Tamandua tetradactyla: one gene and its partners. The protein of the gene in region 1 purifies or fractionates together with the protein of each later gene. This does not show direct contact. Links are inferred from orthologs where the notes say so. Each region holds a gene or a part of one and is shown on either strand. Other genes may lie near its edges. The genes, in order: PABPC4, MKRN1, PAIP1 and ATXN2.

Evidence for each region.
Region 2: the proteins of PABPC4 (region 1) and MKRN1 purify together in Homo sapiens (affinity purification with mass spectrometry; 3 studies listed by BioGRID and IntAct, with this or other methods). This does not show direct contact. The link is inferred for Tamandua tetradactyla from reciprocal best matches to the Homo sapiens genes PABPC4 and MKRN1.
Region 3: the proteins of PABPC4 (region 1) and PAIP1 purify together in Homo sapiens (co-immunoprecipitation; 3 studies listed by BioGRID and IntAct, with this or other methods). This does not show direct contact. The link is inferred for Tamandua tetradactyla from reciprocal best matches to the Homo sapiens genes PABPC4 and PAIP1.
Region 4: the proteins of PABPC4 (region 1) and ATXN2 purify together in Homo sapiens (affinity purification with mass spectrometry; 4 studies listed by BioGRID and IntAct, with this or other methods). This does not show direct contact. The link is inferred for Tamandua tetradactyla from reciprocal best matches to the Homo sapiens genes PABPC4 and ATXN2.

The regions. Positions count from the first base shown.
Region 1 is NC_135328.1:185,799,100-185,806,199, forward strand, and holds the start of PABPC4 (polyadenylate-binding protein 4), read left to right. Parts: upstream 1-4,219; 5' UTR 4,220-4,309; coding exon of another isoform or gene 4,310-4,356; 5' UTR 4,357-4,648; coding exon 4,649-4,841; intron 4,842-7,100. Other genes in the region: uncharacterized protein LOC143658260, read right to left, coding at 3,334-3,700, 3,803-4,219, 4,310-4,356.
Region 2 is NC_135327.1:183,909,561-183,916,855, reverse strand, and holds the start of MKRN1 (E3 ubiquitin-protein ligase makorin-1), read left to right. Parts: upstream 1-4,288; 5' UTR 4,289-4,459; coding exon 4,460-4,650; intron 4,651-4,844; exon of another isoform or gene 4,845-4,973; intron 4,974-7,295. UniProt on the Homo sapiens protein: E3 ubiquitin ligase catalyzing the covalent attachment of ubiquitin moieties onto substrate proteins. These substrates include FILIP1, p53/TP53, CDKN1A and TERT.
Region 3 is NC_135335.1:93,719,182-93,726,103, reverse strand, and holds the start of PAIP1 (polyadenylate-binding protein-interacting protein 1), read left to right. Parts: upstream 1-3,908; 5' UTR 3,909-4,140; coding exon 4,141-4,408; intron 4,409-4,613; exon of another isoform or gene 4,614-4,796; intron 4,797-4,997; coding exon 4,998-5,167; intron 5,168-6,922. UniProt on the Homo sapiens protein: Acts as a coactivator in the regulation of translation initiation of poly(A)-containing mRNAs. Its stimulatory activity on translation is mediated via its action on PABPC1. Competes with PAIP2 for binding to PABPC1.
Region 4 is NC_135331.1:12,234,220-12,242,108, reverse strand, and holds the start of ATXN2 (ataxin-2), read left to right. Parts: upstream 1-4,869; 5' UTR 4,870-4,952; coding exon 4,953-5,188; intron 5,189-7,889. UniProt on the Homo sapiens protein: Involved in EGFR trafficking, acting as negative regulator of endocytic EGFR internalization at the plasma membrane.

The DNA of each region.
Region 1 (7,100 bases):
AAACACATTCTTTCTTTTGATATGTTCATGTCATCTCTGAAGAACAGAGTTCTTCTGAAAGTAGACTGCCCCAGTGAAAAAAATATTAGCACTCCACCCCCAAAAGCTCTTATTGAAGCTTTACGCCCAATCCCAGCAAAGGTAGATTCGTACTGACCTGCCTAGGCCAGTCACTTTCAGATCACTGGCCTGGTTATTGGTTCAGTCTCTTCCTACCCAACATTGAGCCCTAATCAGGTATTGTTTAATTTTGCAGGTTGGACTCCAGGCTCCTTCTGGTGGCTTTACATATCTCCCCCCTCTAAAACAAAGTGATAATCTTGTGTCAGTTGTAGGAAATGTAAATGTTTTGATTTCCAAGAAATTTAGGGACCTTCCTTGACTCAATCCCTCACCTCCCACATCTAATTAGTTACAATTTTTATTGTCTACTTATTTCTTAAACCAAACCACTTCCGCCCCCCCCCCCCCCCCGCCCCATGGTCATTACCTTAGTCTGCCATCATCTTGCATGTCCCCTTACACCCATCCTCTAAACCGTTTCCATATTGCAACCAGAGATGTTTTCATAAAAATGCAATTCAAATCAAGGCATTTGCTCATCAGTGCCCAGCATTCCTTCATTTATTTGACAAATATTTATTGAAAGCTTAAATAGAGCTTTGTGCCATGTTAGGCACGGTTCTAGGTTTCAGTTCTCACAAAGCTTATATACCAGTGGAGGGAAGACAGGCACTTTAAACAGATACACACACATACACACAATGTAATTTGTGATTTCAGGTAGTAATAAGAGCATTGAAGACAAAGAGACAGGATGGTGTGATAATAATTAACAGTGGCAGACTACCTTAGACTGGGCAGTCTGGGAAGGCTCCCCGGAGGAGGGGACCTATTTATAGGAAGACTTTCCCTCCTGTCTTAGTTTGCCAGGCTGCTAGAACAAATGAGTTGGCTTTGGGAGTTCAAAATCATGCTCTCTCCCCAAAGTCTGTAGCGTTCTGACGCTGGCTTACTTAAGCATTCCTTAGGGTTTCTTGGCTTGCATCTCTGCCTCCCATTACATGGTGATCTCTTTCTTCTGTGTCTGCTTTTCCAGTTTCCACTAACTTGTGGCTTTTTTCTGTGGCCTTCTCTGACTGTGTCTGAATTTCTTCTGCTTATAAAGGACTCCAGTAACAATGATTATGGCCTACCTTGATTATACTAAGCCATACCATAACTAAAAATAACATCTTCGAAGGTCCTGTTTATACACGAGCTCACTCTCCCAGGAATAGGGATTAAGATTAAGAACATGGCTTTCCTTGGGTTACATAATTCAACCTACCACATCTGTCATATTTACTATGGTATCCCCCAGCATTTATAGCTGGCACTGCCATAGAGTATAGTCCCTGATTATTTATTTGAATGAATGAATATATAAATATGTATATTTCTTCATTCATTTACTTAGATCAGTAGTTTTCAGTGAGTTTGCATGCCTTTTGGTAATTTCTGGGTTTGGTTCTCAAAATAATGGAGGAGCCTTTTATCTACCTTATCAACAGATGAGTAAAACATATGGAATAAAAATAAATAGTAGGGGGAACAAATGTTAAAATATATATTAGGCTAAAATGCTAGTGATCAATGAAAGGGAGGGGTAAGGGGTATGGTATGCATTAATTTCTTTCTATTGTCTTTTTATTTCCTTTTCTGAATTGATGCAACTGTTCTAAGAAATGATCATGATGATGAATATGCAACTATGTGATGATATTGAGAATTATTGATTATATATGTAGAATGGAATGATCATAAGTTAAGAATGTTTGCATTTGTTGTAATATATATTTTTTTAATTTAAAAATTAATAAAAAAAATAATGGAGAGTTCCTGGTGTTTAGGGACGAAGGGATGCTATATAGTTTGCTAGGCATGGAGACAGTCCCACATACCATAGAATTGTTTCATATCCCACAACTTTCAAGTGACCTGCCAGATCTCAGGTGGATGAAAACTCTCTTTATAATTACAGGAGCCTAGGCACTAACTCCCTTTTACATGGAAACAGAAGATATTTTTGTGCCTTTAAATAGAAACTAAATTTACAGGAATGCCATTACCATGTAAATAGAGGGATAATCATATTTTGTTTTATTGAAGCTTTACCAAAATCTGTTAATCTTTTCAGCAAATCACACTACCCACAGAAACCACTGCATTTCTAGCTGCCACATTCTGGACGATTCTATCTTTAAGTCCCAGATTCTGAGAATTTCCATATGTCTTCTTGAGTATGGGGCCCCAAATATTTATATACTGAGCCACTTATTATTTATTTGGAAATTATTTTACCTCTTTTTTTTTTTAACTTTTTTTTTTAGGTGCATGGTCCGGGAATTGAACCCGGGTCTCCCGCATGGAAAGCGAGCATTCTGCCACTGAACCACCCATGCACCCTTAAGTCTTTTTCAGTAAATCATTTTATTTCATCTTTATTTTCCAATTAGGCATTACATTTTTTTGGTCATTTCTAGCTTTTTAAAATTATTAGAGCAGTTGTAGGTTTACAGAAAAAAAAATCAAGCAGAAAGTACAGAGTTCCCATAAACTCCACTCCCACAGTTTTCCTATTATTAACATTTTGCATTATTGTGGTAGCTTTGTTACAATTGATGAAAAAAATTATTATACTATTGCCCATAGTCCATAGTTTATCTTTGGTTTCAGGTTCACTCTTCGTGTTGTCCTTTTTTTTTTCCTGCATGCTGTAAGGCGGGGGTCACATTTCATTCTTTTTCCACGTGACTATCCTGTTATGGCGGCACCATTTGTTGAATTTTTTGTTTGTTTTTGTTGGTTTCTTTGTTTGTTTGGGAAGTGCATGGGCGGGGAATCGAACCGGGTCTCCCGACATGGCAGGTGAGAGTCTACCACCGAACTATGCTCGCACCCCTGCACTGTTATTATTTTTTTTCTAAAATTTTATTCTAGTAACATATATACAACCAAAAATTTCCCATTTATCCACTTTCAATTATACAAGTCGACGGTATTAATTACATTCACAACTTGTGCCATTTTCGCCATCCATTACCAAAACTTTGCCATCACCCCAAACAGAAACTCCAAGCCAATCAAGCATCAATTCCCTATTCCCCACTCCCTCCCAGCCCCTGGTAACGTGTATTCTAGTTTCTTAATGTTATGAATTTGCATAGTCTAATTATTTCAAATAAGTAATATCATACAGTATTCATCCTTTACATTGATTTTTTAATTTTATGCGTGTGGGTGGGTTATATTATCTAAGGGTTATATTATCTAATCACCATTCCCGGGTGATTAAAGGGGGTGGGGGGATTGTAATATATTTATTATGCAAAGGAGTCCTTGGGTCTGGTGAAAGCCCGGACCAGGATACCTGAGGTCCACTCTGCCTGGAGCCCGGAATGGAGCGGCCAGCGGCAGCGCGGTCCTCCCACCGCCAGGTGTCGCTGTGGTGCCGCGCAGACGCGCCGGGTCGCTCTCGCGTGACCGTCCCGCCTCGGGTACCCGGGCCGAGTGGGCGGGCACGGCTGCGCCCAGGTCGCGAGGCGCCCTTCGACCAGCAGCGCCCGGGGCGGGCGGGTATAAATGGAGCGGTGGCTCCCCCACCCGCCTCTCTCCGCCCCGGGTCGCCGCTGCCTTCGCCGCTTTCAGGCCCAGCAGCCTGAAGAAAAAAAGAGAAAAAGATTAAAAAGAAAAAAAAAAACGAAAACGCTTTAAAATCTTAAAAAAAAACGTCAAAAAAACCGAATCCTTCTCGGAGAACCTGCGAGGAGTCACTTTTGCACGCTTCCGGCCTGCCCCGCGCCCGCCGCCGCCGGAATCTCGCGTCCGTCTCCGTCTGTCGGTCCGGTGGTGAGCCGCCCGTGCCTGCCCGCCTGGGCCTGTGCGCTCCCCGCCGCGGGCCCGCCCTCCTCCACGCGTCTCCACTGTGAGCCTCGCGCGTCCGTCTGTCCGGCCCGCCGCGCGTCCCTCCCTGTCCGCACGCGCCGCGTGGCAGCCTCGGTGCTCGTCGGCTCCGCGGCGCGTCCTGCTGCCCCTCGCTTCCTGCGGGCCGGCCTCCCGGCGCACCACGTGTCGGCGCTGCCCTTCCCCGAGCCCGGCGTGGGAGGCGGCTGCGCGCAGCGTCCGCCTGGGGCTTGCGGAGTCGCACGGACGAATATTTTGTTTCCCTCTTCCCTGGCTGTTGTAATTTTAAACCGCCAGGACCCCGAGGCCTATATTTATAGAGAAACGCGTGTCCCGAAGGCCGCTGTGGGCAGCGTTTGATTGCCTCTTGGAGAATTTGTGTTTAACTCGGAAGGAGATTCCCGTCGTCATATTTTTTGAAATTTGTAGGTTCAAACCAGGACAGCTGAAAATTCCACCATCACCCCACCCCCCCAGGGAGGGCCATATTGTTTTTGAGAGCCTTTTGTCTGAGGTTTTGCAGAGTCTCTCCAACGAGCTTTCCCCAAGCTCCTGTATATCGGAGCCTACTCCAGCTTCTCTTAGCTTAACTTGCCACCTGTGAGCCGCAGCGCAGACTACGGCTCAGAGAAGAGCCTCTTTTGTCTTGTGGCGGTCCGTATAAGAAGTCCTGGCGGGGCTCGGGGTGGTGGGGGGTGGGGAGATGAACGCTGCAGCCAGCAGCTACCCCATGGCCTCCCTGTACGTGGGTGACCTGCACTCGGACGTCACTGAGGCCATGCTTTATGAAAAGTTCAGTCCTGCGGGACCTGTACTGTCCATCCGGGTTTGCCGCGACATGATCACCCGCCGCTCCCTGGGTTATGCGTACGTCAACTTCCAGCAGCCGGCTGACGGTGAGTAGGAGCTCTGTCCACAAAATCTTGGGGTCTACAGAGACCCAGGGAGTTAGCTTCTAGGCACGCCCCACTTCCCAGGAAGGGGTGGGGTGGGGGGAATCCAAACATCATTTTGTGCAGAAGTTGAAGTGGGAGCTGGAGGCAAAGAAAGAGGTGAGAACATGGCACCTGGCATCAGTTTCAATCTTTCTTTCGTACTGGCTGGCTGGGTGACCTTGGGCTAATTAGTGGTGAGGTGGGGTTGGAACCCAAGAAGACTGTAAAGGAGAGCAGAGTGAAGTCACTGTCAGCCCATTGTGTGTGTGTGGTCCTGCTTGAGTGGGCCCTTCAGAGACTTTGTACTAGTCAGTGGACATGGGCTTGTGCCCCTCAGAAGCCTGCCAAAAAGGTAGGATGAATGAAACCCAATTCGCTGCAAAAATTTTAGATTGCAAAATTACTAACCCCTCCCCCACCTTTGCCTTAAGAGTCAGTTTGATTTGATATTGATAAGGGGTCTTTCAGGGCAGATAGGAAGCAGAGGAACAGATCTGTGGATTAAACAGGGACATGTGCTAGCACCACCAGACCCATGTGTTCAGCTGGTAGCCAGGCGAGTTCTCTATCCTGCATGTTTGCCCCAGGGGTGGAGGAATTGTTTGCTGTGGACATGCCCTGGACTGTGGAGAATGTTAGCTAGTTAGGCTGGGGAAGCACCACCTGAAAGTCCACTGGTCTGGTGGCTGGGGCTGGTGGGCATTATCACCTCAGCTGTGAAGAGCATTTTACACTGTGCAAACATCTTTCACTTCATCCTATCCGAAGGGAAATAAGACTCCTTTGAAGAAAAAGGGACTGCAAAAGGTTGGAGGTTCAGTCTACCCCAGATTGTGACTTTAGCCTGGAGCAGTGGAGAGATACGCTGCAGGCGTGGCAGGAGTGAAGCCAAAGGAAACCCAATCAGGGGCTGCATGTGACTCCAGATTAAAAGGGAACAACTGCAGAGCCCTTACTGGGAGAAATAAGCCATTCTATGGCAAGGATCTCCAGCTCCCTACTCTTGTCCCCACTTTGTTCACTCCATAAAGCAAATACAGAGAATGTAACTTTCCTAGGATGCAGCTGAGAGCAGGGAATTGGGCCTGGGTTGAAGTGAGACAAGGCACCGCGTACTGTCAATTCAGTGTACTCAGCTGAGTTCTGTCTCTGGCCACATAAGTACAGAGAAGGTGTCTGAGGGTGTGGCCTTTTTAGGAGGAAGTGGGGGTATATACATTATTTCTTGCCTGCCTTCTTACCTCTTCTGAACAAAAGTGCTGTCACTTGGAGATAGTAGCAGAAGCTTGATCAGTGTTTCTGCCAACACATACCTCTGCAGGACCTCTCCCTGCTATAAATAAGTGCAGCCAGATTTGTCAGACTAAGCTGACTTGCCTTGTTGCAGTGCTATCTGGAAATAGAAGAGTAGTTGGGTCGAAATGGGTGTCTTTACTGCTTATTAGTAAAATACAATTGGGCTTCCCAGTTGTGTATCACAGAAAATTATCACAAGCAAAGTCCTATACCTGGGCTTTTTCTATGGCTCTGTACTGCCATCTTCTCTTCCCCTTCATAACTGAGCAAGCTGCCTTTCTCAGATGTGGGAAAGATTGTTGGAAATAAGTGGGAAAAAAAGATATTCCCTTGACTTGATGTAAAGCTGAGCCTGTGGAGGGGTGGGTAGGGAATTTTGTCTATCTTTTAAGTGAAATGTTCTCGAATGGATGCTTTAAAGTAGGAGAAAGCTCCCCAACTCTGACGCTGTGTGAATCTTCTCATGGAAGTTCTAAGTGATGTTATTGCTTTAGTGAAGTCACTGCCATGAGATAATAGTGTAAGTTTGGAAAAGTGGCACCAGCTCTGGGTGTCCTTGTTGCTGCTGTTGAAGACAAGTATATCCGGCTGCAGATGATTATAATTTAGGTTCTGGTCCTTTAAATGGTGCAAACATTGTCTTGGTTGGGAAGCTGAGAAAAAGTCCCAGGGCACTGGATGGAGAACTGGTTGGGTGAGCACCAGGGCATTGAAATCTTGGAATTACACAGAACTCAGCTTAAGGCTTCAGCACTTTTCAGATGTTCAGGTTCAGAAGACACAGGAACCTACTAGGTGCGGGGCCCACGTGCATCATCACCTTAAGCAGAAACCATCCTTTCAAGGAGTTTCCTCAGTCTATGATAGGGATAATTTTAACTGTCCCACCTGAGCTACTGTGGGTAGGCTGCAAAACCCTTTATA
Region 2 (7,295 bases), on another chromosome or scaffold:
AACAAAACAAGAAAACCAAGTCTGTTCGTTATTTATCTAGGTAATTGGGCATCCTGTACTTTTATTTGCTAAATCTGGCAACCCTCTTCTAATGTAATATTGCAAAGACAACAAAAGCAAACACTTATCAAGCACAGTCCGGTGACTGTCCTTTAAGCTTTACATATATTATGTTTTATAAGGAAGATATTAAAAAAAATTTATTAATAAAACCAATCAACGTACAATATGAACATTATCTTTTTTATCACATAGTTGTATATCATCATCATAATCATTTCTTAGAACATTTGCATCAATTCAGAAAAAGAATAAAAAGACAACAGAAAAAAAATTCATACATACCATACCCCTTACCCCTCCCTTTCATTGATCACTAGCATTTCAATTTACTAAATTTATTTTGACATTTGTTCTCCCTATTATTTGTTTATTTTTAATTCACGTTTTACTCATCTGTCCAAAAGGCAGATAAAAGAAGCATCAGACACAAGGTTTTCACAATCACACAGTCACGTTGCGAAAGCTATATCATTATACAATCATCTTTAAGAAACATGACTCTACATTTTCAGGCAATTCCCTCCAGCCTCTCCGTTAAGCCTTAAGTAAAAAGGTGATATCTATTTATTGAGTAAGAATAACCTCCAGGATAACCTCTAGACTCCAAAATCTCTCAGCCATTGACTCGTAGGCCTAGCCTATCCTTTTAAGTAGGCTTAGCCTATCCTTTGCAGGGTTAAATTTTATATGAACAAACCTCAGGATTGGGGGCTCAGCCTATTGCTTTGGTTGTCCCCACTGTTTGTGAGAATATCAAGAATTCTCTACTTGTGGAAGTTGAATTTTCTCCCTTTGTCACCATTCCCCCAAGGGGACTTTGCAAATACTTTTAATTCACTGTTCAAATCTTAAGGGGTGATTTTGATTACTGAATCATATTCCTTTTTGCTTTCTGGGATATTGGGGTAGACAGAGGGGAATACCTGAAATCCCAAAATCAGCTGCCCTGATATCTGAAATGATTGTAAAAGCCCTTATCTTGTGCCTTTGTGACTGTAAGAGCTGTTAGTCCTTTCATCTGATCATTTTCTTGCAGGGGAAAGGCCCTAATGCTAATGAAGAATTTGAAGTCAGCCATTAACTAGCTTCAGCCCACGACATTTGTAAATCTTATCACCTAGACTCTACTATTGAAAGATAACTTGTCTCCCTTCCTTTAGGCTTATACCTTTAGTATTGATGAAATAGTTCTGCCTCCCCTCCTTTCAGTTTATATTCTCCTATTGAAATGATAATGAAGCACTGTCTCCTTTTCTGCTTTGAATTTGCTATTCGAAATGATCTCATCTCCATTGCTAAAATTCTTAAAAACCTTGAACCCTCTAAATTTAGGGAGACAGATTTCAGGCCGTTAGGGCATCTGGTCTCCTACTATGCACCTAGTAATAAAATCTCACTTTGAAACCCTGGGGTCTCAGGAATTGGTTATTGAGCATGTGGCAAAAGAATCCATGACCATTGTCCAGTAACACTTTCATCTTGATAGTCTTCCTTTCTTTCCTTTTCTTCTTCCTACCAAATGTTCCTAAACTGGCCTTGATCCCCAAGCAGTAGAGGCTGATAAGGCAAGTCTCCTTGGCTCCCATATGAGTCACCACCCCACCCCCCACCCCCGACCCCCAGCAGATAGGCACTCTTCTCTGGACTCTGGCATCTGAGAAGACATTAGTAATCTGAGGTTTTGGGGCCCTCATATCATACCAAATTAGGCAGTCAGCTAAACTGCCTATAATTAAGACCCTGTTGGCAGAGGATAAGGACAGTAGAGTCACTAATAAATATTTTTATATTTATCCTTTTGCTGAACTTTTTACCCAGCAATCTAAGCCAGAGATGGCTTTTTGTTTCGTTTATTTTGTTTCTTATAATTAATAAAACATTGTTCCTATTTGGCATGAATGGTGAGTCAAGATACAATATTGCCCAGCTCTTGTTAAAACATCAGAGAGTTCTCTCATTCATTACCCAAATATTATTGAGCACCTACTATTATTGCCAGATGGTTCCAGTCACTTGGGATATAACTGTGAACAAATCAGGCAAAGATCCATGCCCTCATCGAGCTACTATTCTAGCTAGGAGAGGCAGGCACTAAACAATAAACATAATATATAAGCAATTCCTATGGTAAGTTAGAAGATAAAGGCTAGGAAATAAAGAAAAGAAGAGGGAGCAGTGTAAAGGGTCTGGGAGTCGGGTAGGGAGGAGTGAGGAAACAGGCTGTGATGTTTTTAGAAGGCCCTTGTTAAGAATCGAGATTTGAATAAAAGTGACGGTGGGACTACTGTGTCTGGGTCAGCAGAGGCCAGACATCTGGAAAGGAGAGAGCAAGGAGAAAATAGAGATGAGGTCAGAGGAGTGGGGATATGGGAGAAACCAGATCATACAGAGTCTTGTAGACCTTACCCTGCTTGGAGGGCTTTGAGCAGCGGAAGAACATAATCTGTGTTCATTCTAAAAGCATCAGCTTGGCTGCCATGTTGAGTAGGAAGATCAAAATTTCAAGTCTCAGCATGGTCCGGCATGTGTGAACTTGGGGGCAGCCCTGAGTCCCCTCATCCCTCCACTCTTTAGTACCAGGTCTGGATTTAGTACAAGGTCAGGCACAAGGTCTTTTAAGGTATGTTGCTAAGACTCAGATCTTCTATGATCTCATATGATAGCATCAAGGACTCTGAACTGGGCACCAAGGCCTGCCAAGCCCGAGGACCCAGGGATTCCCATGCCTGCCCATGTAAAAAAAAAAAAAAAAAAAGAATTGTTTTAAGTGACTTCTTTTACATACAAAAAAAATTTAAGTGCCCCACCCCTTTTTAAACAAGTTATTACCTAATTGATAAAATCCAAAGGATAAAGACTACCAGGTACACATCTGTAGTCAAAGTTAAATTTTTTATGCAGCAGGGGAGACCATAGAGTAGAGGTATTGTATTGTGGGGCATCTTGGAATGGAAGAGTAGGGAGGGGTCTCTTCCAAGGTACAAGTGTGAACTTGCTGATTCTAAGGAGGGGCAAATGATAGAGGAGACTAGCTCTAAATTGGATACTGTCACGAAGAGGGGACAGTTTAGAAATTGGGTGCCTTAGCAATCTTTGTTCAGGAAAGGGACGGAGAAATGATGTATGGCTGGGAAAGTCATTAGTTAAAAAGTACAAATTATTCCAAAGAAGGGGATTAGTAGTCATTTTACAACTATTGTGGCCTTGGGAGAAACATTGTTTTCTGTTGGCTTTGCTACTTAATTTGTCCTTAATTGCGTCTGTAAGGTACATTGTGGTCCGATTATCAGCAGGACTGATTTTCTCAAGGCAGAAACTATAGAAATACAGAATTATTTAAGGGCTTATGAAAAACTGCTTACGGAAGATCATAATTTAATATGCAGCATCTGAATGGACAGTGGACATTAATGGGGAAATACATTTTAATTTTCATAGTTTTAGAAATTACTTTCAGAAGTTAAGATATTCCAGACACCTTTAGTTATTCTATAGTAAGCATTACCTGCAGTGTGAAATACAGCACTAAGTGTTTTACGTGGACTTTTATTTAATCCTCAAGACAACCTCTGGGGCAAGTACAATTATCCCCTTCCTCCAGATGGAGAAGACCACAGCCTCAAGAGGTAAGATACCTTGCTCAAAGATATACAGCCAGGAATGGGAGAAGTCAGGAGTTTGAAAAGAGACAAGCTGACTCGAGCCATTTGCTTAGCACGTCGCCACTATGCTATCCTCTTGGGCATTAAGATATTTGGCCAAGGTCACACCACTGGTTAGAAGTACAGAGTTAACATCTTAACTCTGTTCTTATAACAAAGTCCTAGCCTCAGTGATTTCCTTGCATATTACACAATTCTCACAGACCCCACGAGGTAGGATCTACTATCATCCTCATTAGAGAGATTAGGAGATAGGTTTAGAGAGAATTAGTACCTTACCCAAGGTCATACAATAATTGGTCGAGCCAATAAATGGAAAAGTACACATTCAAACCAGGTCCTCCGACCTCAGGTCCCAGATTCCTTCCACAACATCGCCTCTACTAAGAGATAACCCCCTGGGTCAGCCGCTCTTTATATTTGGACTTCTGTCACCCCTCAGATTTTGAACATCTGGGCACACCTGGATAAAACCCCAGTTCTAACTCCTCCCCTTTCTCGGTGAGATCTCTCCTCCGCCAATCAGATGGCGTTGGGGGCGGGCGGAGGGCGGTCAGGCCGGGTCCTGGCAGTTCAAGTTGCCTGAGCGCAAGGAGACGCGGCGCGGAGACCGACGGGGAGCTAGCGGTCGCCTCAGTCCCCTTCCCCTCCCCTGGCCGCGCTCTCTGCGAAGCCGGACCGGAACTATGTGATCCCGGAAGTTCCGGTGCCATTGCTGTGTGGGATAAACAGTAATGGCGGAGGCTGCAGCTCCCGGAACAACAGCCACAACATCAGGAGCGGGAGCGGTAGCGGCAGCGGCGGCGGTGGCAGCGGCCTCCCCCATCCCTATCCCCACAGTCACCTCCCCGTCCCTGGGGGCGGGAGGAGGGGGAGGCGGCAGCGACGGTAGTAGCGGCGGCTGGACTAAACAGGTCACCTGCAGGTAAGACGTTGCGTGGCTGAGCCGAAGGCGAGGGGCGGGGGCCGAGGGCCGAGCGAGAGAGTGAAAGAGGAAGGGAGGGAGGTTGGCTGGCCGAGAGGGAGCGAAGGAGGGAGGGAACTCGGCGTTTGTGCGTCCTCCGCCGCCTGTCTGCCGCCGCGGCCTCCCCTACTCCTCACTGCGTCAACCCCCGCCGGTCCGCGTAGGCCCTAGCGCGGTCCGCGTAGGCCCCGCGGCGCGCGAGGTGCTTTCGGGATGCCCGCCTCGCTACTTGTTTCCCTTCGCCCTAGTCTGGATTCAGCACCTAGCGCCATTCAGTGAGAGAGGTAGGATAACTCCTCCCCTCCTTTTTAGTTTTTAATTGTTGATGCCTTCTCCTCCCCTCCTACCTCCCGCTCTTGAGATTTGGGAGGGGACGGGTGGTTTTCGCTTTGAGCCGGTCCTCCAACGACCCTTTCCGGACCTAGGATACCCGGCAGAAGGCCTCATCGAGGTGCCCTGGCTCCCGGGACCTCTCTACTGTGTCATCCGTTTCTAACGTCTTTTCACGTTTCTCTGCCCCCGCCCCCCTCCCAGCCGTGGGAAGTACCTTTTCTATTTCTTCTTCTTTGTGTGTTTGTCGAGATTGGCGGTTCTGAGCTTTGTCTTAGAAGCAAGTGATGTGCCTGGGTCGTTTTTTCCATTCTTAGTTTTACGAGCTGTTATTACCCTCCCGACCGAAATGTTTCTCTTTTGAAATTCACCATCTCCCTTCTGTAAGGAGTGAAAGGGCTCGTCGCTCCCTGAGGAGAGGTTTTGTTTATTGTTGTTTTTTTCACTACGTTAGCTGAAAAGCCAAAATAAGTGATTGATGGATGGCTGTTATACGGATGTGTACGCATGCAAAAAATTAGCGAGCAGTACAAGTAAGATTAGAGCACTTAACTGTGTTACACCTCGATTTTTTTAAAAGTGATCAGTAACCGCTATAAGCGTTTCTTTTTCCTAACGTTAGAAAAATTCCACCTGAAGCTCTGGTTTTCACCTTGGCGTGGGATACTTTATACGTAAATGCATTTGAAATATTCCTGATATACTTAACGTAGCGTCCTAGTATTAACCGCGAAATTGAAGTGCTCCCGGTGTTATTATTCATTTAACGCGTGGATAATAAGTATCATCAGTAATGGCATAGAGAAAGCATAAGAATCGTTTTCTCTTATAATTCATATGTAGATCTTAACAATGAAATCCAGGGGAATATCCCAAGGAATAAAAATTTTAAAGGCATTCATTAAATCAATTATTTGAGTCTCTGCTTTTTTTTTTCATTGTATGACCAAATGATTATATGTGCTAATTAACTCTTAAAAAGAAAAGAACTGTGACCATTTTATTAATTTTCTATCCATTCATTCAGTCCCAATTTACCCCATGCCCTGAAAATAATCTTCCTTGAATATGCCAATTCTTAGTGCCTTGATTTTACCCACCATTTCTAATTTAAATATAGTCTAACCTTCCCATCAACCTGAAACTGATTATTTCTATACTTATTATTACCCTGTTGAGTCTGTAACTTGGGCCCAATTTTACATCTCTGCACAGAATTCATTTTCACTTGCAAAACACTGCTCCCCTCTGCTAGGCACTTGCCCTTGTTCCATTTCCCATTCCCTTTTCTACTTCCTCATCAGTTCTTTTTTCAGAAACAGAGCTGACCAGACTGAGCATTCCTTTAGGGTCTTTGACTTTATGAAATAGTTCTGAAACAGTGAGGATTTGTATTTAAGAAACAACACATCGCCAAGTAACCTAGTAATTTGAAAAAGCATTATGTAAAAGATGCAGGCTTAGTTGTACTAGTTTCTGGTATCTTAAGTGTGTACGTACACGTGTGTGTGTGTGTGTAAACCTATATAGCTTTTGCTTTACAATTAACTTTAAAAAATACAAGATTAGGTGAAATGACTTGGGATTTACTGTTTGACTTTATTTTTGGTTATTCTAGTTGCCCAACAATCTAGTTTTTAAAAAATCTTTGAATAGAGGAGTATCAAATATGAGCTTCATTTATTCTTTGAGTGAGCTCTCTGGAAACAGGGATCCTATTTTGTTGATCTGTTGCACCTCAGTGCTTGACATAGAGCAGATGCTCAATATATGCTTGAATTGATATGGTATACCTATACTAAAAGTAACTACTTTTTTTTTTCTTTAAAAGTAACTACTTTAATATGTATTTGTATGATTTCTTTCATTTTAAAAAAACTTGGAATAATTAACAGAGATGGGACTTAATAGAATATGTATGTATCTTTTTGATGCTACTTTTTTCAGTCATTAAGCAAGCATTGAGGGCCTAGAACAAGGAACAGTGCTAAATGTTAAAGGAAATAAAGAAGTATGGTGTATCATAAATAATTTTAATGTGTAAAATTGTATTTAAACCTCCTTTATAGAGAATTCAAGGTGGTCTCATGTTCCAGTGTCTGTATGTATTTCCCCTATAGCAGACCATTCTTATATCTAGGAATTTGTCTAAGGCTATTTTCTTCACCTAGGGTATAATTGTCTTAGAAGTTCTTTGAATGAGGATATTTGTTTTTAACTGCCCAGAATTGTCTATTTTCTTGATTATTACTATTTTCTTAATATTTCTCTTGAAA
Region 3 (6,922 bases), on another chromosome or scaffold:
AGGTATCTTCTGCCTTCAGGTGAGTTCAGTGGAGTTGTTTGCTTAATAAACCAATTATTAACAACCCAGCATGTTAGGAGCTAAGACAGAGTTTGCCCAAGATGCTAATATCACAAAGGAGGAAATCTAAGATTGGATAGATTGGGGAAAGTTCCAGGAGGATACTTAAGCAGACCCTCATAGGTTAAGAGGCATTAACAGACAGGTAAAGGAATGCAGAGATGCTTTAGTAAAATCATGAAGGTACGAAGTAGCTTGGGATATTAGGGTAAATTAGTATTGCTAAAAGGGTGCAGGGAAGTGGGGTGGGGGTAGAACATGTGGGGGAATAACACAAGATGAAGTTGGGGAGTGTGATGGTTGGAAAGGATGTCTGTACCCTAGAAAAGCCATGTTTTAATCCTAATCCCATTTTGTAAAGGCAGCCATTTCTTCTAATCCCTATTCAGTACTGTATGTTTGAAACTTTAATTAGATCATCTCCCTGGAGATGTGACTCAATCAAGAGTGGTTGTTAAACTGGATTAGTTGGAGATATGTCTTCACCCATTCTAGGTGGGTCTTGACTACTTTACTGGAATTCTATGAAAAAGAGATTCTGAACAAGCAGAGAATGAAAGAAGCAGAGAGTCCACCAGCCAGCGACCTTTGGAGATGAAGAAGGAAAAAGCCTCCCGGGGAGTTTTATGAAACAGGAAACCAGGAGAGAAAGCTAGCAGATGACACCATGTTCACCACGTGCCTTTCCAGATGAGAGAGAAACCCTGACTATATATGCCATGTGCCTTCTCATTTAAGAAAGAAACCCTGAACTTCATCAGCCTTCTTGAACCAAGGTATCTTTCCCTGGATACCTTAGATTGGACATTTCTATAGACTTGTTTTAATTGGGACATTTTCTCAGCCTTAGAACTTTAAACTTACAATTTATTAAATTCCCCCTTTTAAAAAGCCATTCCATTTCTGGTATATTGCATGCTGGCAGCTAGCAAATTAAAACAGAGAGGAAAGCAAAAAGGTCTTGTTCTGAGCTGAGGGGTTTGACTTCATTACAAAAGCTACAGGGAAGATTTCTAGCAGTGGACTAACATGATCAGACATGGTTTTAGAAGGATTACCTGGCAGCTAAATGGAGGATAGGCTGGAGGCAAGGAGACTAGTAAAGATAATTACTACTTTCAGTTCTCCTCTTAAAGCCAAGGCCTCCAGGGTGGTCATGGTAGAGATAAGTCTAGGAATCTTGAATTTTATAGACCTCCTCACAGGAATAGGCAGAACAATTTTTAATCTAGCTTAAAGAAACAAATCTTCCCCATAGTTCACAGCAGGTTCTTTTCTCATATTTTACAACCTCTAAAAATTTGTTCTTCTACTCTCCTTTCACCATAAATAAGAAAGGAATGAAGTTGGGGCAGGAGATCTTTTGGTGATTCTCTTCACTTCCCCTTTATGGTGCTCATGTTTTTTTTGTGTGTGTGTATGTGTGTGGTCTCTTGGCATTATGCAATTCCTAGCATCTACCAGTTGCCCTTTAAGCCTCTAGATGAATCTGAGCCTTGTGATATCTTAACATCAAGTTACTTTTCTGTAAAATGAAGATAATGTAAATGTCTACTTGACAGAGTGTGAAGATGAAATGAAATACAAGATTTTGGAACAGCTGTTGATCTTCCAACAACTTGGAACAGTTGACATATAATAAATGTATAAAAATATTAGCTATCGTTATCGTAAATCCACTCATGTTATCCCCTAGTCCAACATTCATACATCACAAGATGACTAGGACTAAAGTTACATAATAGGGAATGGAGGGAAGAAGAAGGATAACATCTCAATTGTCTAACTTGACCCTAATCACAAATGGAGGCTGTATAAGGATGCCCTGATGCCACCATGGACACAGAACGGCCTAATCTTCAAGAAAGTGACAGATGCTAGAAAAGGTGCTAAACATCATAAAATTTTAAGAGGAAAAAAAGGGTGAAAAATGCAAATGAAGGTCTGGGATAAGATTAGGGCATCTAATAAATACCCCTTCCCTGGGACATCCAGCATAACTCATCTTCATTCTTTGCTTAGGCACGAAGTGACTGACTACATAAAAAAAAGATTTTAAAGAGCTTTGCACATCACCTCATGTAATTTTTAAATCGTAATTTGGTCTCTCAAGCATTTATTTGTAATATTTGTCCAGCGCCTCAAGATAGTCTCTTTTTTTTTGTATGCTGTGTGGTGAAGATCACATTTCATTCTTTTTCCATGTATCCCATTATTGCAGCACCAGTTAATTTTTTTTTTGGAAGTGCATGGGCTGGGAATTGAACCTTGGTCTCCCGCATGGCAGATAAGAATTCTACCACTTAACTACTCTTGCACCCACAGTCATTTTGTAAATGAGGAAAATGAGAGGTAAATCCCTTGCCCATGATCAGTCAGTAATGTTCAAGGGTGGAATTCAACCAGACTTCGAATCCTGCATTCTTTCCCTACACCAAGGAACTATACTTCGTGCTGGCTTCCTTCTCTGACTTCAATAGTTTTGCCTAATATAAGCAGCATAAATAATGTATTCATGGTTGTTCTCATTAAAGCCATTTTCTCATTTAGATGAAGACTTTAATGTTTTCATTATTAGCAAAAAAAGTAAGTTTCATTATTAGCAAAAAGAGTAAGTAAATGGTTTTCTTAATTGAAATGACTCTCAAGATGAAAAATCACTGAAAGACAGTATTTCAAGTCCTTCTATTTCTCTTCATAAGTCTCTCCCTTCTGTAAAGAGTGTTAGCTGATGATTAAAATAAAAGATTTTGTGAAGTTGGTTCACTCCAACAGTAAAGAAAAGGTATATGTTTGCCCTTTGTTTTCATTACCTATATTAATCCATTCGGCTTCAGCACCATCAGGCTGACTGAAACATTTTACACATAAATGTCCAGAACTACCTTGTCCAGTGTAGTAGCCACTAGTCACGTGCAGCTATTGAGTTCTTCAAACATGGCTAGCCTGAATTAAGCCTGCTGCAAGTGTAAAATACACATTGAATTTCAACCAATACAACAAAAATTGTGAAGTATCCCACTAATATTTTTATATAAATTAAAGGTTGAAATATTTTGGATATATTGGTTTAAATAAAATCTATTATTAAAATTAATTTCATCTGTGTGTGTTTACTTGTTCAATGTGGCTTCTACAAAATTTAAAACTAGTTAAGTGGCTCATGTTACAATTGGGCAGCACTGGTAGAAGATGAAAAAGGGGAAAGTATCATAGAAAACGTAATAAAATTCTCTCAACATTTTAGAAGCGGAAGAAAAAAAAGGAAGAGATTCAAGTTTAGTGATAGGTTTGGTCTACAGTGATAAAGACCCGGTTGTGAATTAAAGAGGGGGGCGTATTTTGGAACTATTTCTACTCCTCTCCTCCACTGCTAGCCGAGCCGGAGGAAGAATCCCTCCCAAAGGCCCCTTCGCGTCGCGGCCTCGCGTCGCGGCGGGAGCCGGGTCAGTGCACACACCTGCGCGCCCTCTGAGGTGCGCGTCCGCGAACCCTGGCGCCGGGTCCACGCCCCCTCCCCCCGTATTTTTATTTTCCTGGCATCAACCGTCAGTCTCGCACTTCTCTCCAGAGAACCATCGAGCAGCTTGGGCCTCGCAGGGGTAAGTGGCCCCTCAACTCCCATCCCGGCTTCAGGAGCCGAGATGTTCTCGTTCAGCACCCGCTGCCCACAGGGTCGTCCAGCGGCCGAGACGCCGCTCGCCTGCCGGCCTAGTGGGCAGCCGCCGCCGCCCCGCCGCCCCGCCGTCCCGCCGCCGACGAGAGGAGTCGCGGCTGGCGCGCCGGGAGCCTCCGGGCCGCGGGGGGCCGCTGTGACCCGCCTTCGCCCCCGCCGCGCTGAAGGGAAGGGTGCCGGGTTTTGGGGGAGAATCGGAAAGAGCTGGGTAGCCGTGAGGGGCGGGCGCTCTGGAGCGGCGGGTGTTCAGGCTGCCGTCCGCCCCTCCTGAAGCGCGGAGGAGCCTAAGCCGGGGCCCGCCGCCCTCCTCCTCCATGAGGCCCGAGTGAGGCACAGCGACGAGAGCCGGTCTCCCCACCGCGCCCTCTCCCGAGCTCAGCGGCGGCGGCTCCCGGAGGAGGAGCATGTCGGACGGTTTCGATCGGGCCCCAGGTGCTGGTCGGGGCCGGAGCCGGGGCCTGGGCCGCGGAGGGGGCGGGCCTGAGGGCGGCGGTTTCCCGAACGGAGCGGGGCCTGCTGAGCGGTCGCGGCATCAGCCGCCGCCTCAGCCCAAAGCCCCGGGCTACCTGCAGCCGCCGCCGCTGCGCCAGCCCAGAACGGCCCCGCCGCCCGGGGCCCAGTGCGAGGTCCCCGCCGGCCCCCAGCGGCCTCCCCGGCCCGGGGCTCTCCCAGGTACTGAGCAGCGCTTGGGGACCCCCTCGGGCCAACGCCTCCCCACGGCCTTTGGCGCGCGCCGGAATGCGGGCGCGCTCTCTTCTCTCTCTCCACGGTTCCCCGAAAGCATTCCGCTAGGGGCCGGGTGGCTCCGGGGTGGGGAGCCGCGCGGAACCGGGTTTGGAAGGTGGCTGTTGGAATCCTTTGTGCTCCCCGGCGGGGGGAGGGGCCGTCTGCGCGGTCTCCGAGTTCTGCCGAGGGGGGAGTAAAAAGCTCCCCTTCCCCAGCGCTCTTAACGGATACACTAGTCCAAGCAACCACCTTTTTTTTTTTTTTTTAACTGACTCCTTAAAAAAAGGGAAGGGGGGAAAAACAAAAGCCCTCACAGTCACCCATTTGAAGGCAGGTATGTTTATAAATGAGCTAAAGCAAATCTATTGTTCCTTTTTACAGGCTCTTTGTACAGTTCCTGACGATGACCTTAAATTTCGTTATGGTTCTTGTTTAGCTCCTAAAACCAAGCCTTACTCGGATAGCTTTTCAATATATAGTAAATTATTATACAAGGGAATGAAGGAACCTAACACCCCTATTTTTTTTTCTTCAGAACAAACGAGGTCCTTGAGAGCTCCGCCTAGTTCACAGGATAAAATCCCGCAGCAGAACTCGAATTCTGCAATGGCTAAACCCCAGGTGGTTGTAGCTCCTGTATTAATATCTAAGCTGTCTGTGAACGCTCCTGAATTTTACCCATCAGGTTATTCTTCTAATTATACAGTAAGTACTCCGTTTTACTACAGCTCTTGGTTGGTGTTACTGGGATAATGTGACTATAACTTATTAACCATAGTATGCTGGTGCTTTTTGTCCTACTCACAAAAGCATTTTATTATGAACTCATTGAACTCCTGAGGAAATACAATTGATTCAAGAATATATTTGGTAGATATTGTCAAGGTATGAGAATGCCAACTGAAAGTAGGAATTTTTGTATTTAGTTGTCTTCTGTATTCCCAGCACTTATTATAGTTATCAATAAGCAAATAAACTTTATGTTGTTAAGGACATCTTCAATGTATAAAACTAAAATCTTTTTTCAGATTTTATGGGCAACCTGTGGAATAGTAGCCTGGCAAAATTGAGTTTTAATTTGATTTTAGCAAGATAACTGAATATTCACTAATGGCTTAAGGATAAATAAATAGTAGTTTTGCTGTAAACAAATTATGAGGTAGTTGAGAAGTACAGATCTGCACTTTTGTTTGTAGTGATCATTGTTCCGGATTATAGATTATAGAAAATAGAAGTTTTTCTAGATCTAGATACCTACTGTATGTAGATATGTCAAAGGGGATTTTGATAAAGTATTTTGGTGTAAAGAATTTTTAAACTTTCAGAGTCATCTTTGTCAGTAATATAAGAACTTTAAAAGTTGGTCAAACAAATTACAGGAGAAAGCACAAAACGCAGTAGGGTTGCATAGAAAAGAATGTATCATGCTAGGTAAAACAAGATGAGTAAAATGCACAGGAATTGAAGAGAGGTAGAACAGGAACCATGCTACTAAATTAAAGAAATGATTAATAAAACATATCATGAAGTCTGACTTTCACATTTTCCTAATTTTATTGAGATTTAACATATAAAAGGGTGTACAGAAAAATATAACTCAATTTCACAAAGTGAGTACTCAGGTAACCAGCATCTAAATCAAGAAAAAGAACATTATCAATCCCTAAAACCCACCTCTGTCCCCTTCTAATCACTACCAATCACAAGGGTGACCACTATTTTGATTTAACAGATTAGAATAGTTTTGTTTCTCACTTTCATTCTGCAATATTAATCCATGTTGTGTAGCCTGTAATTGGAGGTGGGTTTATCGTCATAGTATAGTATTCCATAGTGATATAGTATAAATAGTATAGTTTTGTTTTTTTTTTTGTGGGCAAATGTACCATGATCTGTTTATCCGTTGATATGTTGATGAACACGTTGATGATATTTGGGTAGTTTCCACTCTGGGGCTCTTTTGAAAACTGCTCGGCCAGTCCATTTCTGGTGGATATATGCCCTTTATCAGTTTGAGGTATACCTAGGAGTGTAATTGCAAGGGTATAGAGTAGTCGTATGTTTAGTTTTGGTAGAGACTGCCATGTAGTTTTCTAAAGAGATTGTTCCAATGTGTTCTCTAAGCAGTATGTGGTTTCTAGTTGTTCTGCTTCCTTATCAGTGGGCTTTTTTTTTTTTTAAGTTTAGCCATTTTGGTGGGTATCTTGTATCTGTTTCCGGTTTTAATTTATATTTTCCTGTTGGTTAATGTTGGCACACCATTTTGTCAAATTCATTGGCTCTTCCATATTTGATAGAAAAAGTCATGTTAACTTTGTATTCTACATTTTAAATATTGCATGCGTTTTAGGCTGCATAGGAAAAAGCTCTGGGGTTGGAAAAGTATAGACATAGCAGGAAGAGCAGTTGATTTGGGGTGGAAGGAGTCATCTATCATGTAAAATAGAAATGCTAATACCT
Region 4 (7,889 bases), on another chromosome or scaffold:
AGCAACTTAACAACCAGAAGTGTGCTGGTGTGGAGGGAACAGATAATTTAAAAGCTTTTCAAAGAATGTCGCTGTGCTCCCTGTTCTTTTGCCACTGTTCTTTCGCCACACTGCTTTGTTTTTTCCACACCTGTGGGAAAGCAGTTACTTTTCATACAAAGTGTATAAATAATGCCTCCAAGCAGCATCTCCCCCAACACCCATCTTTCCTTTCTTTTTTTTTTTTTTTTTAATATTGTTTTAGTGTTTTGGCATCCCTAGAGGGTCTACAAATAGATTTGCCTCTAAGAATTCTGAGTAACCACAGTCAGGAGAAAAAGCAATGGTTTAATTAGCCACGGTCCTATTTTTGAAATTACATCTGCTTTTTTTTTTTAAAACTGAGTATCTGTCTATGCAAGAATTTGAAGAGGATGGATTTTGGTGGGGGGGGATGCATGTTAGTTTTGATTTGAATTAACTTTCATGCTGTGGAAATCAAAATCAAGAGTATTGAGTGAATAATGTATCATCATACATTAAACAGGCTCAAATGAAGACAGCTGACAGAAATGATTACAGAAAAATGAATTGCTGGAAATATGGGGTCCTCTGCTGTGTGCTATTATATGAGAGATAACAAATCACTCCACACATTTCTGTGCTTTGCATGGTTCTATCAGTTTTTCATCCCCAAATTCCCAGACTTGATTAATCACTGAAGTAATGAAAATTAACAGGCTAATAAAGGATCATGTGGCTTGAGGAGTCACTGGAAATCAGAAAGCAAGGACAGAAACCACAGGACTAGATTCCCAAATCTGAAAGTCTTTCTCTGGATGTTTTCTGTCTTGAGACTTTTTGAATTTCTGAAATATTGGTTGAAATATTTTTGAAGCTTAAATTTTTCCAACACTTCTCAATCTTAGACTGTTTCAGGGCAATATTCTTCGTTGCCTTTGATGACAACTCTCCAAAGACACTTGTTGGTTTTGTTTTAATGACTATCAGAAAAATGTCTGTGGGAGATGAAGGACCATTCAAAATTTTAACTTTCACTGGATATATTATTAGTCCCTAATTTCAGCATCTGTCTTTAAAGAATTCCGAGTCTATGGAAATCATTGGACATGTACCTTTTTTTTGGTCATCTGTATTAGTTATCTATTGCTGTGTTAACAAATTGTCCCCAACTTTAGCAACTTAAAACAGATAGGTTAGGAATCTGGGGACAGCTTAAATGCGTAGCTCTAACTCAGGGTACCTAACCTGAGCTAGATACAATAAAAGTTTCAATAAAGTGTCTGCTAGGCTATATTCATATCAAGGCTTGATTGAGCTTCTATGCTCACTCATGCGGCCTATGACAGCCATTGGGTCCTCACTTGTTGGTTGGAGATGGCAGTTCCTTGTCATATGGACCTCTCTGTAGGGCAGTTAACAGAATAGCAGCTGGCTTTCTTCAGAGCAAGTGAGGGAGAGAGGGCAGCTTGTTTTAGTTTCCTGGCTGCTAAAACAAATATGCAACAATGGTTGGCTTCAGTTAGCTGGGCTTCAAAGGCTAGAGGCTTGCTTCCTCCCAGGTCGGTATCTTCTGGCTGGGGTTCCTTGGCTTTCCCATCACATGACAATGCACGTGGCGGGGTTATCGCCTTTCTCTTCCAGTTTCATTGACTTTCAGCTTCTGGCTGCTCCCCCTTCTCTATAAGACCTCCATGGATAGCATAAAGACCCATTCTAATTCATATGGCCACACCTTTATTAAAAATAGTATCTTCAAAATGTCCTATTTACAGTAGGTTCACATCCACAGGAATGGATAGGATTACGAATATGCTTTTTGGGGATACATAATTCCAAGCCACCCCAGAGCCCAAGGCAGAAGCCAGAGTCTTTCTGTACTATAATCTTGGAAGTGAAAACCCATTACTTTTTCTAACTGTTTGTTAGAATCAAGTCACTAGGCCCAGCCAATACTCAAGTGGAGGGGATATGTCAGAATCTGAATACCAGGAGGAAGGGATCACCGGGGCTGTTTTAGAGACTGCCTACTATACCCTGACATTTTCATATAAAGCTAAAGCCCTCTGACATCATGGTTGCTATAAAATAACCATGTTCTTGGAGGTCTGGAATTCAGGTGAAGGATTTGCAAGAAGGGATATTCCTTGGTTTTAGGTGAGGAGACTCCCTCAAGAAAGTGAAATGGGGAGGAAAAAAAAAGAGTTGACAAGAGAGGTTTTCTTGGTCTCCAATTTAATATAAAAGTAAAGATCAAATTTTAATGCTAAACCCTATACATTGCTGGTGCAAACATAAAATGGTGCAGCCCACCTGGAAAAGAGTTTGACAATACCTTAAAAACTTAAATATATTTCTTTGCTGTTAACAATTCTCAACTTCAAAAAAAAAAGTTAATTATAAATTTACCTTATGACTCAGCAATTTCACTCCTAGGTATCTACCCAAGAGAAATGAAACATATGTCTACACAAAGACCTGTACACAAATGTTCATAGCAGCATTATTCATAATAGGCAAAAGTTGAAAACAATCCAAGTGTCCACTAACTGGTGAATTAATGATGTACAAATCCCATTGGTCTACGCAGTGGAATACTACTTAGTAATAAAAAGGAGCTAAAAACTGATATATGCTACAACATGATAAACTTCAAAAACATTCTGCTAAGTGAAAGAAACAGACACAAACAACCACATACATTAAGATTCCATTTATATGAAATGTCTGGAACAGGCAAATCCATAGAGACAGAAAGTAGAGGAGTGGTTGCCAGAGGTGTGGGTGGAAACTGCTAGTAACTACAAATGGGCATGAGGGATCTTTCTGGGGTAGTGGAAATGCTCTGAAATTAGTGGGGATAGTTGTACAACTCTGTAAATTGACTAAAAATCATCGAATACTTCAAATGGATGACTCTTATGGTAGGAAAAAGTTCAATTATAGTGGATGAGAACTAGCCTACATTTCTCAGCCTACATGAAACCAAGTTCAGCTATGTCAGCTTTATGCCTTCTTACTCTACTTCCCTTTTTTCCCCCATATGCTTGGAGTTTGGTCCTAACACTACATTCTGGGACCTTGGTCCCAGATAAAGCTCTTAAGTCATTAAATCAGAGAAAGTCCATTGTATTTTGATTATAGTTATTTTATTTTTTCCTTCTTCATCTGGTTTTTTAGCCCTGTTTCTTCTGGGCTAATTTTTAAAGGATTTTTTAACTCTAAAGGAATACTACATTTTTTCTCAATCTTTTTACCTTAGATGGGAAATACACCTGATTGCTGATTGCCTGCTTTTCAAGTGTTTGCAATATACAATGATCAGTTTTGCCTAGGCTATGTAGGAGATTAATGTCAGTTCATTCTGGCTACTGGATACATCTGGCTTAATTATTCTTCAAGTTCTTCTAGGTCTTTACGTTTATCTGGACAATTCGAGATTGAAGGGAATTTTGATGTTGATTGCCCTATCATTTCCTTAAACTCACTAAAAAATACAACAAAACACTAGATGCTTCACTCAAAAAAAAAAAAAAGTAGTTATCTACTTGCTTCCAGTTTAATTGCAACACATTTTAAAAACGGACTACTGTGCTGGCTGGCTCTCTTAAGTTAAAGTAAAACTTCTAAAGGGGCCAAGGTCTAAAGTTCGCACATTCTTGTGAAGACTGTTCTGTCTCCGCCGACAGGAGACCCCATTTTTTCATAGCTGTACCAAATCACGTACATTTCCTCTTGAGCCTCATGAAGGAGGTAAAAGAAGTTCAAGTGAGGGGAAAATGGGTTCAAATGAAGGTCAGATACGCAAAAGAGTTTTCTTGGTTACTTTTTTGCTGTTGTAGAAAAAGTGGGGTAAAGGTAACCAGATTTGGGTAGCCTCGGCATGTTGCTCAATCTCAAGTCCATTCGTTAGTCTTGGCAGCGAAACAGAACAGGGCTCTTCTTTGAGACACTCAGTGACACCCGAGGGCCTACTGTGTGCCAGGCGCCGAGGATACAAAGATAACTGTTGAATGCTCGTGTTCATCGCGCCAGTGACTATTCTGCGTGCTTTATACGGAGCAAGACACTCTACCCTCGGAAGGCGCTCGCAGTTCATTTTATACGTTGCGTCAGGTGGGGTCAAACAGGCATTCTTCTCCAAGCTTGAGGACCGAAAAGGCACCTTGGGGGGCGAGGGAGAAAAAACGCTTCCTCCTAGTCCTTTACGCTAGGTTGATCCGGCCGGAGAAGACCGACACGCCCTCGCCAAAGGGCAACCCCGCCTAGAGGAGGGCGGATCCAGGCAGGGCCGGCAGCCGGGCCCTCACCGACCCCCGCGAACGCGGCCCAGACCGGCACCCGCTCCTCACGTGTCCCTCCCGGACTCGGAGCTCCCTCACTCCCTACTTCCGTCTGACCCTGCCGACTTCCGGTAAAGAGTCCCCATCCCGCATCGGCCGCTGGCACGGCCAGCAGCGCTTGGGTGTGTTCGTCTCCCGATGAGCTCGGCGGCCGCAGCTCCTCGGGGCCCTGCGGTGGTCCTTGAGCCTCGCCGATTCGCGGCTGCCAGATGGACCCGGCGGCGCTCGCTCCCGCGATGGGGCGGAAGGGGCGGTGGCGGCACGGCTCTAGGCCCGTATCCCTCCGCCGCCCCTCCCCCGCCCGGCCCCGGCCCCCCTCCCTCCGGGCAGCGCTCGCTTCCCTCCGCCTCAGACTGTTTTGGTAGCAACGGCAACGGCTGCGGCGTGTCCCGGCCCAGCTCCCGGCGGCTCCTGGGTCCCGGCCGGCTTCCCCGCCCCTTCGTCGTCGTCCTCCTCCCCCTCGCGGGCCTGGGTTCCCCCCCGGCCGTGCCAACCCGCGCCTCTCCGCTCGGCGCCCGCGCGTCCCCGCCGCGCTCCGGCGTCTCCTCGGCGCGCCCGGCTCCCTGCTGTACCCGCCTGGCGTGCGGGCCGGTGTATGGGCCGCTCACCATGTCGCTGAAGCCCCAGCAGCAACAGCAGCAGCAGCAGCAGCAGCAGCAACAGCAACAGCAACAGCAGCAGCAGCAGACCGCGGCAGCCAATGCCCGCAAGCCCGGCGGCGGCCTTCTCACGTCGCCCGCCGCCGCGCCACCGCCGTCCTCAGCCTCGTCGCCCTCGCTCTCGGCCGCGGCTTCCTCCTCCTCGGCGGCGGCGGGCACTGGCGGCGGGCGGCCGGGCCTGGGCAGGTGGGTGTCGGCGTCCCAGCCCCCTCCGCTTGGGGCCTGGACGAGGTCGGGCCTCGCGTCCCCTCCCCCGCGGTCCGCACCGCCATCCCCTCCCCGGGACCGGCCTGGCCTAGCGGGGTGGGCTAGGGGCCCGCAGCGGGGGCGGGAGCTCCGCTTTAGACCCTGCAGGCTCGGGTGGGGGGCGCCGTGGGGCCCCTCTGGATTGTCAGGCCGCGTCCATCCTCCTGCACCATCCTCACTCTCCTCCCTAAACGGTCAAGATGGAAGGACCGGGCAGCGTCCCCTTCCCATTGAAATGCTCACAGGTCCCAGCAATTGTCAGCCCCCGTTGCACCTTCTTTAAGCCCTCCCGGTCCCCAGTGGGGGTGAGGGGGATGCTGCGGGCAGCGTCCCCACTCCCGGTTTAAATGTGGTTGGAGTGGTCTTTAGATTTTGTTTCAGTCTCCCGAAACACGTCTCCTCCCCCATGGAGGAATATCGAGGCGGGGGGGGGGGGGATTGGACCGCGTCCCCTGCCTTCCTGTTAAAGGGGCAGCCACAGGACGCTTCTGGAATCGTTGGGGTCTGTCACGTCTCTTCACCTGTGCCCCCTTTCTACTCAGTGAATGATGGAAGGACGGGGGTGAGGTGGGTGGGCAGCAGCCCCCCGCCCCTTCCAGTTTTAAGCCTTAAGGCCGCGGCGGGGTGTCCAGAAGCCCTAGAATGGTCTTGCCCTGTGCAGCCTCCCGCAGCGGCCCGCTCTCCCCCACCTGGGGAAGGGTGGGAGTGCTTGGGCCCCTCCCGGCCTCCCCCTTCTTTCCCTCCTCCCGCATGGCCTCTCCCGCTCGGGTGGTGGCCGATCCGCATTGCCGTTCCGAGGCGGCGGCTAAAGCGCTTTTGCACACTGGTGGGTGAGGGTCGGGCCCAGGCGTGCGCCCGAAGCCCAGGCGGAACTGGGGAGGTGGGGGGTGGGCGGGGGGAGCCCGCTGAGCTTTCTTGATACCCCCTACCCTGATTTCCGAGGTGTTTTTTTTTTTTGCGTGTGTTTGGGGAGAGGGATTGCAGCGGGGGACAGGGTGGGATTCCTGAAGGCAGAAACGTGGGTGTTTCCTTGCGCCTCCCCTCTCCCGCTCCAACCCTCATAACCCAGGTTTGTGCTGAAGGCTGGGGGCTCTGTTATTTCCGCCAGCCGGGTCTAACTCTAGAGTGTGTGTGCCTGTGCGCCAAAGCCTCTTTGGGAGTCAGGGTCGTGTGTCAGTTCGTAATTCACTAACTGAGAAAATGCTTAGCGTTCAAACAGGGTGCAAGTGTCAGTAACACTCCGTTCCATTGTGGCCTGTGTCCTTAACTTGGGGAGTGTCGCCAGCGCTTACCAAGGGCACGCAAGTCCGTTTCCCCTGTGCCCTGAGTCCATCCGTGTTGAAGGCGCTGCCATGCCTCATTTAGGCCGGATTGGCAGGGCCAGTGACCAGCATTCTCCTTAAATAGATGTCGTGGTCTTTTGAAGGTGGAATAAGGGAATTTTTCATGCACTGAGTTTTCTTTGTGAAAACACATTTTCAGCAATCCAGTTACAAAGCATTTTCATTAACCAGCAAAAAAACTTACCCATCAAGATGAATCAGCTGGTTTTTAAGAAATTCTTCTCACTTCAAAGAGGTTGATGTAAAGACGCTTCTGGACTGCTACCCACTCCTACTCCCATAGTTTCCCCTTCTCTAAAGCACCCACAAACCTAGCCAACTAGTTCAAATGAAGGGATCATTTCCCCAGCTCTGTACACTTAGGATTTTGTAACTTTAGTTTCCTTTTTGCAGTGGCATTAATAAAGAAAAATGAAAATTATAAATATAATTTTTACAGAAAGAATTGTTTTCCTTTTAGGTGTCAGGTTGAAATCTGGCAGATATATTTCACTTGCTCAAATAATTAAAAAATTTAAACTAAGGCTTTGAAGAAGTTGCATTGGTTCTCTTTAGGTATAAAAATCACATTATGACAAATAATTTGTTCCGAGGTAGCTTGATTGATCAAAGATACTTGGAATGTTTTAGTACTGTAGGTCTTTTTTCTATTCCTTAGGGCTTCACAGAAATTTAAGGTTCATTTAGATTGTCTTGCTTTAAATTATTTCACCTGATGCGTAAATGGTAGATCTTACTCTTTTTGTTAAATATTTGAAGTTTTGTTTAATGTATTAGTCATATAATGTAAAATTTTGTTCTTGTATAGATTCATGTACTTGTAGAATTGCTTTCAATTTTGAATTACGTTTATTGGGCCCTTTGTAGATCAGTTACAGTTTCTAACCTCACTTATGCTTGAATGTATCAGCAGTAAAATAAGTTTCTGGATCAAGGGTGAAGAAAAAAAGCGCAGCATTGGGTTTGACATGTTCAGAGATAGCAAAATACTCTTGAAAATCTAGAAATAATACTTTTGCTTTAAATAGTATATAATATTTTATCATTTGAGTTTTTTGTGAAAATTGAATTTTCATGGCTTTCAAAATGATTTATTCTGTCTTTAATTGTCATATACATTTCAGAAGGTGGCATTTTGTCTTAGGAAATAACAGTATAACTACAGCTTAAATTTTGAACATAATTTTACCTTAATCCAATTTTTATTTTTGTCTTTTAGTGTTCAGTTCTTGTCAACATTTCTACAGTTATAGTGATTATATATATATTGTGTTCATCTTTTTTCATCTTAACATTGT